Oryzias latipes: one gene and its partners. The protein of the gene in region 2 purifies or fractionates together with the protein of the main gene of each other region. This does not show direct contact. Links are inferred from orthologs where the notes say so. Each region holds a gene or a part of one and is shown on either strand. Other genes may lie near its edges. The genes, in order: golga5, slc6a15 and klhl36.

The links.
Region 1: the proteins of slc6a15 (region 2) and golga5 purify together in Homo sapiens (co-immunoprecipitation; 3 studies listed by BioGRID and IntAct, counting the BioPlex papers as one, with this or other methods). This does not show direct contact. The link is inferred for Oryzias latipes from reciprocal best matches to the Homo sapiens genes SLC6A15 and GOLGA5.
Region 3: the proteins of slc6a15 (region 2) and klhl36 purify together in Homo sapiens (co-immunoprecipitation; 3 studies listed by BioGRID and IntAct, counting the BioPlex papers as one, with this or other methods). This does not show direct contact. The link is inferred for Oryzias latipes from reciprocal best matches to the Homo sapiens genes SLC6A15 and KLHL36.

The regions. Positions count from the first base shown.
Region 1 is NC_019880.2:1,780,483-1,784,910, reverse strand, and holds the start of golga5 (golgin subfamily A member 5), read right to left. Parts: upstream 2,830-4,428; 5' UTR 2,650-2,829; intron 1,646-2,649; 5' UTR 1,638-1,645; coding exon 1,010-1,637; intron 627-1,009; coding exon 423-626; intron 338-422; coding exon 118-337; intron 50-117; coding exon 1-49. UniProt on the Homo sapiens protein: Involved in maintaining Golgi structure. Stimulates the formation of Golgi stacks and ribbons. Involved in intra-Golgi retrograde transport.
Region 2 is NC_019864.2:2,131,761-2,134,883, reverse strand, and holds part of slc6a15 (sodium-dependent neutral amino acid transporter B(0)AT2), read right to left. Parts: coding exon 2,962-3,123; intron 2,886-2,961; coding exon 2,687-2,885; intron 2,444-2,686; coding exon 2,251-2,443; intron 2,139-2,250; coding exon 1,979-2,138; intron 1,862-1,978; coding exon 1,699-1,861; intron 1-1,698.
Region 3 is NC_019864.2:27,885,801-27,889,451, forward strand, and holds part of klhl36 (kelch-like protein 36), read right to left. Parts: intron 1,299-3,651; 5' UTR 1,281-1,298; coding exon 1,227-1,280; intron 1,006-1,226; coding exon 811-1,005; intron 448-810; coding exon 325-447; intron 1-324.

The DNA of each region.
Region 1 (4,428 bases), on a different chromosome or scaffold from region 2:
CAGCGCCTGCGAGTTCATGCTGCTGCCCTCTGTGTGGTCCTGCATGATTCTAGACGGGACAGAAGATCTGAGACACACGCTGAAAGTCTTTCTCTGGGGTTAACGGCAGCAGGGTACCTGGACGTCTCTCTCTGAGCCTCCTCCAACGCAGCGTTGCGGGATTTCAGAAGCTGATCAGCTTCATCCAGTCTGACCTTCAAGACCGCCAGCTGACCGTCTTTGGCGGACAAAGCTTCACTGAGGTCATCGACCTGCGAGCGAAGATCTCGAAACGCGCGGTCCTTCTGGGCCTGCTCCGAGTTCCACCGGTCCGCCCGCAGACGGGCCTGGTTCAGCTCTGAGGACAGCATGGAGGACAGAAGGGATCAGCTGAGAGAGCGGCGAGGGCTGACCGCCCGTCGCTGACGGCTCTTTTCCTTCACCCTCTTGCAGGTCTTTGGCTCTCTGAATGACCGACGCCATCTCCTGGTTGAGGGACGCCACCTCGCTGCGCAGCAGCTGGTTCTCCAGGCGCAGGCTGGACAGGACCTGGCTGGCGGGCTCCTCCGTGGGGGGAGGAGGGGGGGTCCCCTGTTTACTGGAATCCTGAAGAACAGCCAAGCTGGAGTCTGAACTGTCAGGTGTGTCTTCAGGGAGAGTGAAAAAATGAGAATTTTAACACATTGTGCAGGTAAATGTGGCTGTTTGGGGAATTCAAAATAATAGAAAGATTTAAGACACAAACAGGCAGAAAGTTACAGTTTATGAAACTGGACTTTGAACGCATCAAGGAGCAGTTCTGAGTCCTTCAAGCTGCCTCCAGAAACGCATCGCTCCCCGGAATGTGCAAAGCTTCAGTGTGCAGAAATTCATGAAAGCTGCTTTTTTAAATCACTCAACAAAACTGAAATTAGAATAAGCATTTAAAGGAAACATAAATCTAAATATTTTAGCTTTTCAAAGCAGTTCAGCTTTCAGCAAGCTTCATGTTTTTCTGTACATGCTGAGCTTCGTTTTCTTCCTCACTGACCTTGGGTTGGTTCCTCTGACGTTCGGTTGCTGTGAGCGGACAGAGAGCTCATGCTGGAGGTCCTGGAGACGCCGCGGGTGGAGGGGGGCGTGGGCGGGGCCGACAGCGTGGCCTGGACACAGGCGGGAGGCGGAGTCGGGGTTGGGTTCTGCAGCTCTGGGATCGGAGCCGCCACTTTTGCCAGATCCTTCCTCGAATCCCGTCGGCTGATTTCCGGAGGATCCGAGCTGTTCAGGAAGTTGAAGAGCATGTCGTCGTTCACGTCCTGCTCGCTCTTTTTGGGTCTCACAAAGCTGGACGAGCTCTTGATGGAGTTGGCGGCGCCGCTGCCAGCACTGGCTGCGTTACTGGGAATGTTGGCGGTCCCAGCCAGCAGGGTTGCACTAGATCTCTTGATGTTTCCCGCTGCAGCAGCGATGAAGCTCGGCGCATCATGACAGGGTGACGGTGCGTCAGCTTCCACCGCGGCCGTGGAAACAAACTCATTCCTGACATTGGATTCCTGTTCGTAGGACGATGAAAAAGAAGAGGTTCTGGCCTGGTTCTTGCTCAGAGCAGTCGCAGCTCCCTGGTCCACTTGATTCAGGAAGTGTTCTGCCTTTCCTGCCAGGTCTGTGAGCCAGGACATCTTGCTCCCTGAGGGAAGAATCAGAGAGTTCAGATGGGACAAACCCCAAAATGTAATTACCGATTAAAATTGATCCCAATCCCCTAATCCCAGTTCATCCCGTGAGCTTTCCCCACTCCCCATAAGGTCTGAAAGAAGAAAAAAAGAACCTGCCGAAGATGAAAGAAAAGCGGTGATGAAAAGCTGGTGTCTTTTAAGATTTAAATGTACAAACATGTCACACTAATATTTAAATTAGCTGCTATAACCACGTTGACAATCGTTATCTTTTTAAAATGTTTCACACAATAACAACATAAAAGAGCAACATTTTAACTGAGGGATCAGGTCCAAAGAAGATGAGGATTCACCCAAAGACTCTTTAGGACAAACCAACCAAAACGCAGATCAGCCTGAGCGTGACTTTTACCACGCTTCAGGGAGAACACAAACGCACCACGAGGGCACACAAACAAACAGAGGCCCTGAAGCGAATACAAACACGAAGCCTCCCAAAGTACACAAGACAGCAGCAAAGTTTGAAGATGAAACTGTCGTGAAGCTTTCCTTCACCTGATAAACAGCTCCCGTCTATGGGAAAACTGTGACAACATATTTCATTTGTTCATACAACAAAAATGTTTTTTTTGTCTGATGAAAACATGATCACATAGAAAATGCAGCTTGAAAACCATTTTCTCGCATTCTTTGATCCTTTAAATGCATAATAAAATTTATATTAGTCAGAATTGTCCGATCCGTTCAAACATTTAGACAAACAGGATCACAGCAGCTCCGAACTACAACCACAGTGTTTCACTGCAGCTACGATACTAACAGCTGCAGTTCTGCCTTAAACGACACCAGCTTTCACTCCGAAATGTGGGGGGAAAGTTAACTGTAGCAGAAGACACCCGACCTTAAAGCGACCCTATCGAGTCTGTCTGGGAGAAGCTCTGTCACAGCTGAAGCTAACATGCTAGCTAGCTCACTAGCTAGTGGCTCCAGAAAAAAAGAAAAGCTGTGGACGTACCGCGAAGACCTAAGGATGCAGGTAAATCTGTCTTTGCTCACAGAGAATCCGCTGCAGTTTAACCCCTAAACCATGGAATGACCTAAAAACCTGATTAAAGACATCATTCGGGAGGATTTTAGCCACATTCACAATACGTGGACCCGGAAACGATCAAGGACCTCAAACAGCGCGTCCTCGGAGAAGCCTGACCAGAAATGGAACTTTTAATTTCATTTTTAAATATTTGTTTGTATTACTATTGTTTTCCTTTAAACAAAACCACAAAAATATTAATCAATAATAGTATTTAACACGTCCTTTACAACACCATAACTGTCCTTGCTAAAGTGTTGTATTTTAACGTTTTGAGTATGTTTAGTCAAAACATTTTCTCAATTTATTCTATAAAATACGACAATAAACAAATATATTCTAAGAAATTATAACTATTTAAAGTGGAATCCACTTTTTATGTCCTGTCAGTCTTATTAAGCCAGTCTGAAGAAAATGTTCTGGTGCTTTGGTTAGAATCAGAAAATGTGGTCTGAATCCACCTCATAATACTAAAAGTTTGTTTTTAATATTCACAAAATATTAACCAACTGGATAAATGCTCTGGATAATGTTTTTTTTATTTTGTTTAACTATAAACTTATACTTTCCATCAACAGCACATTGTCTGCATCAAACACTGCTTTAGAATTCTTCCTTTAAACTTTTCTGCTTCATCTTCAGTTTAAACAGAATTAAGTAAAAACAAACAAAAAAAAACACATCTGATCCAAAAAGTGTCCAACAATCAGGAACTTTTAAACCAAATTCTTTTGTATCAGCATTTATGAATGCGTCTGCTACGGTTCTGTTGTTTCATAACGTAAAATGATGAGTGGAATAATTCTGCGTTAAAATCATCTGTAAGAAACGGAGGAACTTGTTTGTGAAAATGAAAGTTTCCAACAGTTTCATCCTCAGTAGAAAAATTAAACTTTCTCCAAGTCGAATCTTTCACGGAACAATCCGAGTACTAGAATTCTGTAATCTAAGGATTCAGATTAAAATTCACACACTAATCTCAGGATTCAGTTTACAAAGTGCCTTCTCTTTCAATACTTGGCAAATATTATTTAAAATAATGCAGCTTTTAAAGTCAATTCAAATGGATATTTGGAGAGACGGATCCGTAGACGGACTCGTCCAAATCAAAACCAGACACAAAAGTTACAAAACAGCTCCTTTTTTATTATTTTTTCCCGCATCACTCCAAAATGCTTATTTACACGGCATGCCACATCAATACAGGACCCGACTATGGACACAATCGATAACATGTATAATCTGCTCTGGAAGTCCAGGAGGTGGAGTTTCTCCCAACAACAAAAAAAAACAAAAACCAAGCAGAGAAAACAGAAACTGAGCAACGTTTTAATCGCCAGATCAGCCGTAGAAACGGTTCTGCTCAAACCGGCACATTTCAAAGAGCTAAAAACCCACAGATGTCTGCCTGACGAGCCGGGGATCATCTACAAAAATCCACGAGCGAGTTCAGTCTCAGGGTGGACTACAAGGATAGATGATCATAAAGGTTCAGGATTTACAAAATGTCGGCGAGGAGAAGCTAGCAGATTCCACCAGTGGTTAAAAAAAAAAAAGCCTGAACAACGTAAATCTTGTCAGACAGCATCTCAGTCCTGCTGTAGTCCTCAGGGTCCTTCTGAGTGAGGAAGGTCTCCTCTGATATAGAGACAGGATGGAGGGATGAGGGGAGAACTGCTTACAAGAGCTTCACTTTCTGATAAA
Region 2 (3,123 bases):
GGCTCTCTCTGCCAAAAAGGTTCCCGACCCCTGATTTAGAAGATGTACTGTCGTTATAGTTACAATGAGCAGCACCACATAAGTTCCTTTCAAAATAAAATACACCCTTTTTTTAAGGGGGAATCATTCCCTGCTGCAGCAGATTAGAATTCTAAATATTATAATTCTAATTATTTATTTTTATACTTTAAGAACTTTGCCTCGGAACAGCAACTAGAGATAAGAATATGTGTCCCACTCTGATCATCGTTTGATCTATTTTCAAAATAATCTTTTTATTCTGATGATGCTATTTGTAAACAAAATCCAAAAACCAGTTTGTCTTCTTCTGGGACATAGTTTCTGCAGAGCAACAGGAGTTCATTAGAAATTCACCTCTGAGTTGTGGACGGGACTGTTGGTGCAAAGTAAGCCCGGCCCGCTAGGTGGTTAAGTCCGGCCCACACATGAAGAGTAAAAATCATAAGGATGGTTAAAAAAGCAAGCAAGTTTCTAGTCCATTCCTGTGGCGAGTTATGATTTTTTAAAGAAATAACCGAAGTGCGCAATTCCGCCACTCGGGGGAGAAAAGGAAAGGCAAAACAGGTGAACAGCTTATCTCTGCACGTGCCAAAAGCGAAACATAACAGCTCTGCGTCTGGGTAAGATTCACTTTAGTTCCCTATGAGCCTTACCGCTGTTATCTTGCTATGAGGATGATCAGTAGTGACACCCTAATGACCAAAATGTTGTCAAAAAGTGAAGTGGAGTGAAGAGCCTTCCAGGAAAAATGGACAGTTTTTTTTTCTTTCACGAAGCTGAATGCAAACCCCCATGCTTGGTATGTCAGCAACAGGTTGCAGTGTTCAAAGACTACAACATTCAGCACCACTATGAGACTCACCATAAAGAAAAGTTTCTGGATCGCTTCAGTGTCAGATGTAAAATATTCAGTCTGTATAAATTTGAATAGAACAACTTTTTTTTTTATTGAAATTAATTTTATTTGAGATCCATTAGCCCCAAGGGATTAAGCTACTATGTTGGTTGAGGCATTTTTTCAAATTGAGTGAAAAAAACAAACAAAGCTGTTATTTTGCCTTTACGGGACTGGTCCGGCCCACTTGAGATCAGACGGGCTGAATGTGGCCCCCGAACCAAAATGAGTTTGACACCCCTGCTCTACAATATATATATACATGATCACCTCAGTAGTTTTTTAAAATCTAAACATACATGAAGTAACTTCATAAAGTTATTATTTATTCAGACTGTTAGTGGTTTTCTTCAAAGCCACAACTTTAGCGCTAAAAGGGCCCCATGTGGCTCTGGAGCCCCAGGTTGACGACCCCTGACAAAAACTGGATCTTAAGAAAGTAAAAAGTTTCTCGTTTCATAAAAAAAGCCTTTTTTTCTGTGTTGCAAGAAAAATTATCTGATCACTGAAGTTGTTTAAAAGCAAACGAATCTTATTTTCAGAAAAAATGGTTAGAATTTTTCCCTTACCAGGATTTTTCACTAAGAGCGTTTTCTGACCCCATTGGCAGATTTTTATTATCCTATTTTTAAAAATGTCACAATTTTTGACAAGTTTCTTTGGGGCCTTTTTTTTTTTTTAAAGATTTCATAAATCTTTCATGGTACACGTATGCACATTTACCAAGAAGCCCCCCCTGCTGATCCCGGACCTCACGGGTGTTAAGCCTGAGACGGTCTCACCTCTTCCTGGATCCAGGCGCTGTAGCTGGGCGGCGTCATGATCAGCTGGATGAAGCTGGCGCACAGGAGCACCAGCAGCAGGATGGGCGTGACGTACTTCCACATGTAATAGTAGAAACGGTACGGAGCAAATCCCAGCATCTCCTTCAGGTCTTCAAAGAATCTGCAACCCGACAGACGAGTGCGTCAAAAGACAGCGCCTGGATGCCGAAACGTTTGGTTTCTTCATCACTTTTTACAAGTTGGGAGTCCAACCTGTGGCCCAGGCCCGCTTGCTTACTTGTCAATCCCGTAGACCCAAGCGACGGCAATGTTCTCCAACACGACGACGATGAGCAGAGGCAGAGTGGCGGAGTAATCGTCAAACATGGTCACAAAGTAGTTCCCTGAGCGCTGGACAAACAGGAGGCCGATGGAGAAGGCCAGCGCGCAGCACCCCACTGCAGGAGACAAGCGGGGACTCGTGTTGACCACATTCTGGCATCTTCTCCACACAATCCAGGCCTCAGAACAGAACAGTCTGTACTTCAGCTGGGAACGTGCACGCCTCACCTGTCAGAAGCTCTTTGCGGACTTTGAACGCATCAATCAGAGGAGTGAGGATTCCCTCAATGGTGCCGAACATGCTGCCGAGTCCGAGGTTAACCAGCATGAGGAAAAACATGACGGACCAGAATGGCGAAGCAGGAAAGTGGGTCATGGCTTCTGTGAAGGCGATAAAGGCCAAGCCCGTGCCCTGGACTGCCTGTCGGGGAAACGAGTCAGAGGAAAGTTATTGATTCTAATCTGAGATTGTTCATCTTCATGCCAGAACTCGAGGAGGTAAAACCAGAAAATATCTGGTACACCGTGTTCCAATTTAATTACCACTGAGTTTGATATCAATGATCCAAAGAGCCTCAAGACAAATTCAAAACCAATAATTGCTCTTCGTGACACTTTGCATAACCATTTTGAACGCAGTGTTTTTGTTCTTCAGTTATTGAACCTTGTTCAGCTCATCTTCAATGGTGCAGGATTCCAGCCCCAGTTTCTGGAACTCGTCCTCCTTCACGCCCTTGATGATGTCGATCATCTGATGGTAGTCATCCGCCGTCACCTGACTGACCTGAGTCAGGTTTATGTGATGGGGGATGAGCGTGGCTTCGATGCCGTTTCCCAACAACGCCACGATTCTATTGGTGTTCCTTTTCAAAGAACAGACAAAAAGGGTTATGTCGCAGCGGCGGCGTCAAAGTGGGCGTTTGCTGCCGGCGCACTCACAGAGCAACGCATTTGCTGTTCATGACGTTGGCTTTGAAGCCGAGCACAGCAAACACCACCAAGGTGGCCAGCACGGAGGTGAAGAAGTTGATGAACGACACCAAGACGGCGTCAAAGTGGCAGTTGTTGTCTCGCTTGTTGTAGCTGGAAAAGGCGATGACG
Region 3 (3,651 bases), about 26 Mb from region 2:
ACTATGGTGGCATAGATAGATGCAATATCCAGTAACCAGAGAACTTATTCAGAAAATAACTCTTATAATACATCTGACTGTGTATTTAATATACAGACATGAGAGAAAAAAACAACAATATTTTATTGCACTTAAGTTATTCAATCAAAATGGTCTTTTAGAAGTTACAGTACTCACATAAAGGGTGGATAAATCCTTCCTGTAGATTAATTACTGGTGTCAAAGTAATTGTGATTTTAAAAACACACAGAAGCAAGTAAAGGTATAATGACTGTAGAGGAAGGACATGAGGAAATTCAAAGATCTCCAATTCAATGGTTTTACCTGCAGGAGGTGAGCAGCTTCCAACACAAAGTCAAAGTTTCTTCCATCGAGCATCAGCTCTCCGCTGTACAGGAAATCCACCACCGCTTTCAGGCCCACGTAGGACATCCCAACCAGCTCCACCTGCACACAGTTCATTGTGCATGAAATCTTTCTACTTTGCATGTTTAAAAGCACTTCACTGATAAAACTTTGGCAGGATTCCATTAAAGGACAGTGCAGTAAACCGCTGGTGATGCTGCAGATGTTAAGATCAAATTGTTGTTTAGTTTCAAATGAAGAGTGTGTGGTTTCAGCAAATTCTAAATAAGAAAGACACAATCTACACATTTTCTAGTCTTAATGCATAAATAATTAGCTTTTATTGTAATATATCCGGCTATATATCTATTATTTTATCAAGATTAGCCTAGTTTAAGTGATTTATGAAACAACAAATGAAGTGGATTTTGCTAGCAGGTGATTGCGGTGTGTTTTTCCGAATACCTCCTGCTGGTGCTCCTCCTTCATCCCCAGGGTGAACATCGCGTGGAAATAAGCGCTGGAGACGGCTAGCAGGGCCTTGTGCGCAGGAACTCGCTGGTCATCTGCGATCAGCACCACGTCACAGAACTGATTATGTTTCCGTTGCTCGTTGAGGCCCTGCAGCACCTCCATGGCCTGGCCCACTGAGGAGAACATCTGCTGGCACAACATCACAACTTAGACGCAACAAATCTGGCTTTCAACTCTGTGGAGTTTGTAGGAGACATTGGTGCAAGTAGAACACTTAATATGAAATACATCACATATTGAAGAAAAAAATTAACTGTGCAAGTCTATTAATCTACAACTTAAAGGCAACACAAGTATGCGTCTCCAGGTCAAACATTAAAGTGAACTGAAAACAAAGACAGGCTGACCTTGGAAGTCTCACTGATCCTGTGGAGTCGAGACAAGCGGCCCGGTTTATCCATAATGTCTCCACGGACCGGCTGTGTGTTCAGAACACAGAAGGTCCACTTTTAATATTTTAAAATAGCATTAAGAACAGCTGGAAACACCAATCGCATGTGTGCAAAGAAGAAGAACAAACTCAAAAAAGCTACTTTTTTTTTCTTCCAAGAAAAGAGTCGGGATAAAACAAAAACTGTTATTTTCAATTAAAAATATATATATTTGGAAATTAATGAAGCAATATTACTTCAAAGGTAGTTTCTAATACCACCCTCCAATTGTAATCTGAATCATTGTTTTTTCAATTTAACAACATTTTTTGAAATACAAACAAGTACAAACAGTAAAAATGTATTGTAGCGACCCGGGGGTTAGCGCTGCCTTCAGCCCCAAAGGCTCATGGGAAGTGGGGAGCTTTAGGGTGAAACCTCGAGTCAGAGGGTTGTGTACTGAAGTCAAATCCATGCTGTGTGGGCTGTTAGGGTGTGCTAGATTAAGCAGACTCTGCGCTCATAGAGATTCTCCAGTGCTCTGACTCTTCATATATACTTGAGACTGATCGGGGTCGGGCAGTGTATGGGGCACGCTCAGCTCTCCAACAAAGCCATCTTAATTATCAATTGGCTTCAGCCACCCCACGAAAGTGACGGTCCGGCTGGATTGTTACAGTATATACAATTTTTTATATTGTGTTGAATTGATCAACATGTAGATCAATAACAGATTTTGCGTTTTGGGCTTTAGGACTGTTGATACATCATGAAGTAGACCTCTCTTCTTCTACTTCCCGGCGGATTCGTCAAGGTTTCATAACAAGTTTCTTATTATTGTTAATAAAATTCAAAATAAAAGTATGGAACTTTGAACAACACAGTAACAATACTAATAAATTGATGATCAGAAATAGAAATATAACCAAAATCAGCTCTAAAAGAAAAATGGAACAATCTGTTTTTACTATGTTCTACAGGGGCCTGTTTCACAAAGGAGGTTAAGTGTAAACTCTGAGTTCATAAACCCGGAAATCAGGGAAACCCTGGGTTTTCCGTTTCAGAATCGGAGGTTTGTCAAACCAGAGAAAGCAGAGTAAGTCAAACCCGTTTCTGAAAGAGAGTTAACTTTTACTCGGAGTCAGTATCCATGGTTACTTATGCTGTGAACCTAACCTGGTCGGGAGCAGGTTTTATTCTCCAAACTCGAAGTTTTTGCCGGTCCCCTCCCCTTTTTAAAGACGAAGCGGTATTTCTCGCTTTAACCTTCATTGCCCACATTTCCGTCACGCGATCTAAGTGACAAGAATGGCTTGTCCTTTTTTGGAGGACCCAATAGACGAGGAGGCTGCATTAATTCGTAGAGAATTACATTTACGTCGTACGAGGATTTTGAGACCTCGACTCGATGTTTTGTCATTTCCCCATACGTTTTTGTTTAAGCGTTACCGTTTTTCGTTGCAGTCAATTACATATACAAAATGAAAACAACATTAGGTCTTGCTATGTAGATGTTTCATATGTCAAATATTGTCAACAAAGCCTACATCCATGACATGCTCACATTTGACCTGATTGAATTATGTTTTTATACTTCATTTTTAGCTGCTGCCATGTTTCTTTTAATTCCTGCAGGATTGCATCTACATGAAAATGAAATCAGGGACATTGAATTAGATTAATGTAACAATTACTTTTTGGAAACACAATTTTCTAGCACTGCTTACTTTCTTAATCCCATATAAACCTATACCACTTGATCAATACAGGGGTAGTGTTGCAGCGTGTGTGTGCTGAGCGGGGTGCAATCCACGAGAGACAAGGGGAGGGGCGATTGCAGGTGCAGATGGGGGGGGGGGGGGTGGGGTGAGCACGGATGAGGAGGACGGAGAAGGTGTCATTCCCAGAATAACTGTTTTGGAGTCATTCTTATTCCGCTCTGGAGGTTGAGGGTTTCCAACGGGAAGTGAACCCCGAAGGAGAATTCCCTTCAGCCCTGAAGGAAATCTCCCCTGCGCTTCTGACCACTGTCGGTCGGAAAGACGAGAGAAAAGAAGGAAGTCTTTGCGCAGCGAAAGGTTCAACAGTAGACAAAAGTTCACTTTTAAAAACACAATTGCATGTATTAATATTAAAATGACCAACGTTTGCTAGAGGGGAAGGTTAACAATAAAGTCCTCTAAACATTATCGACGTTAAATGCATTTTTCCCCAGATTGGTTCTGAACACTATGCAGCATTTCATGCATTTACACCAGGAATAACACTTCAAAAGTACACCTAAATATCACCATTTTTTATTTCACACCTTACGCTATTTAAAAAGTTATTACAGTCAATATTTATAACAATGATTTAAATGCAAACTTAGGCATTAACTTGAGCAGCTATGTTTTCCACG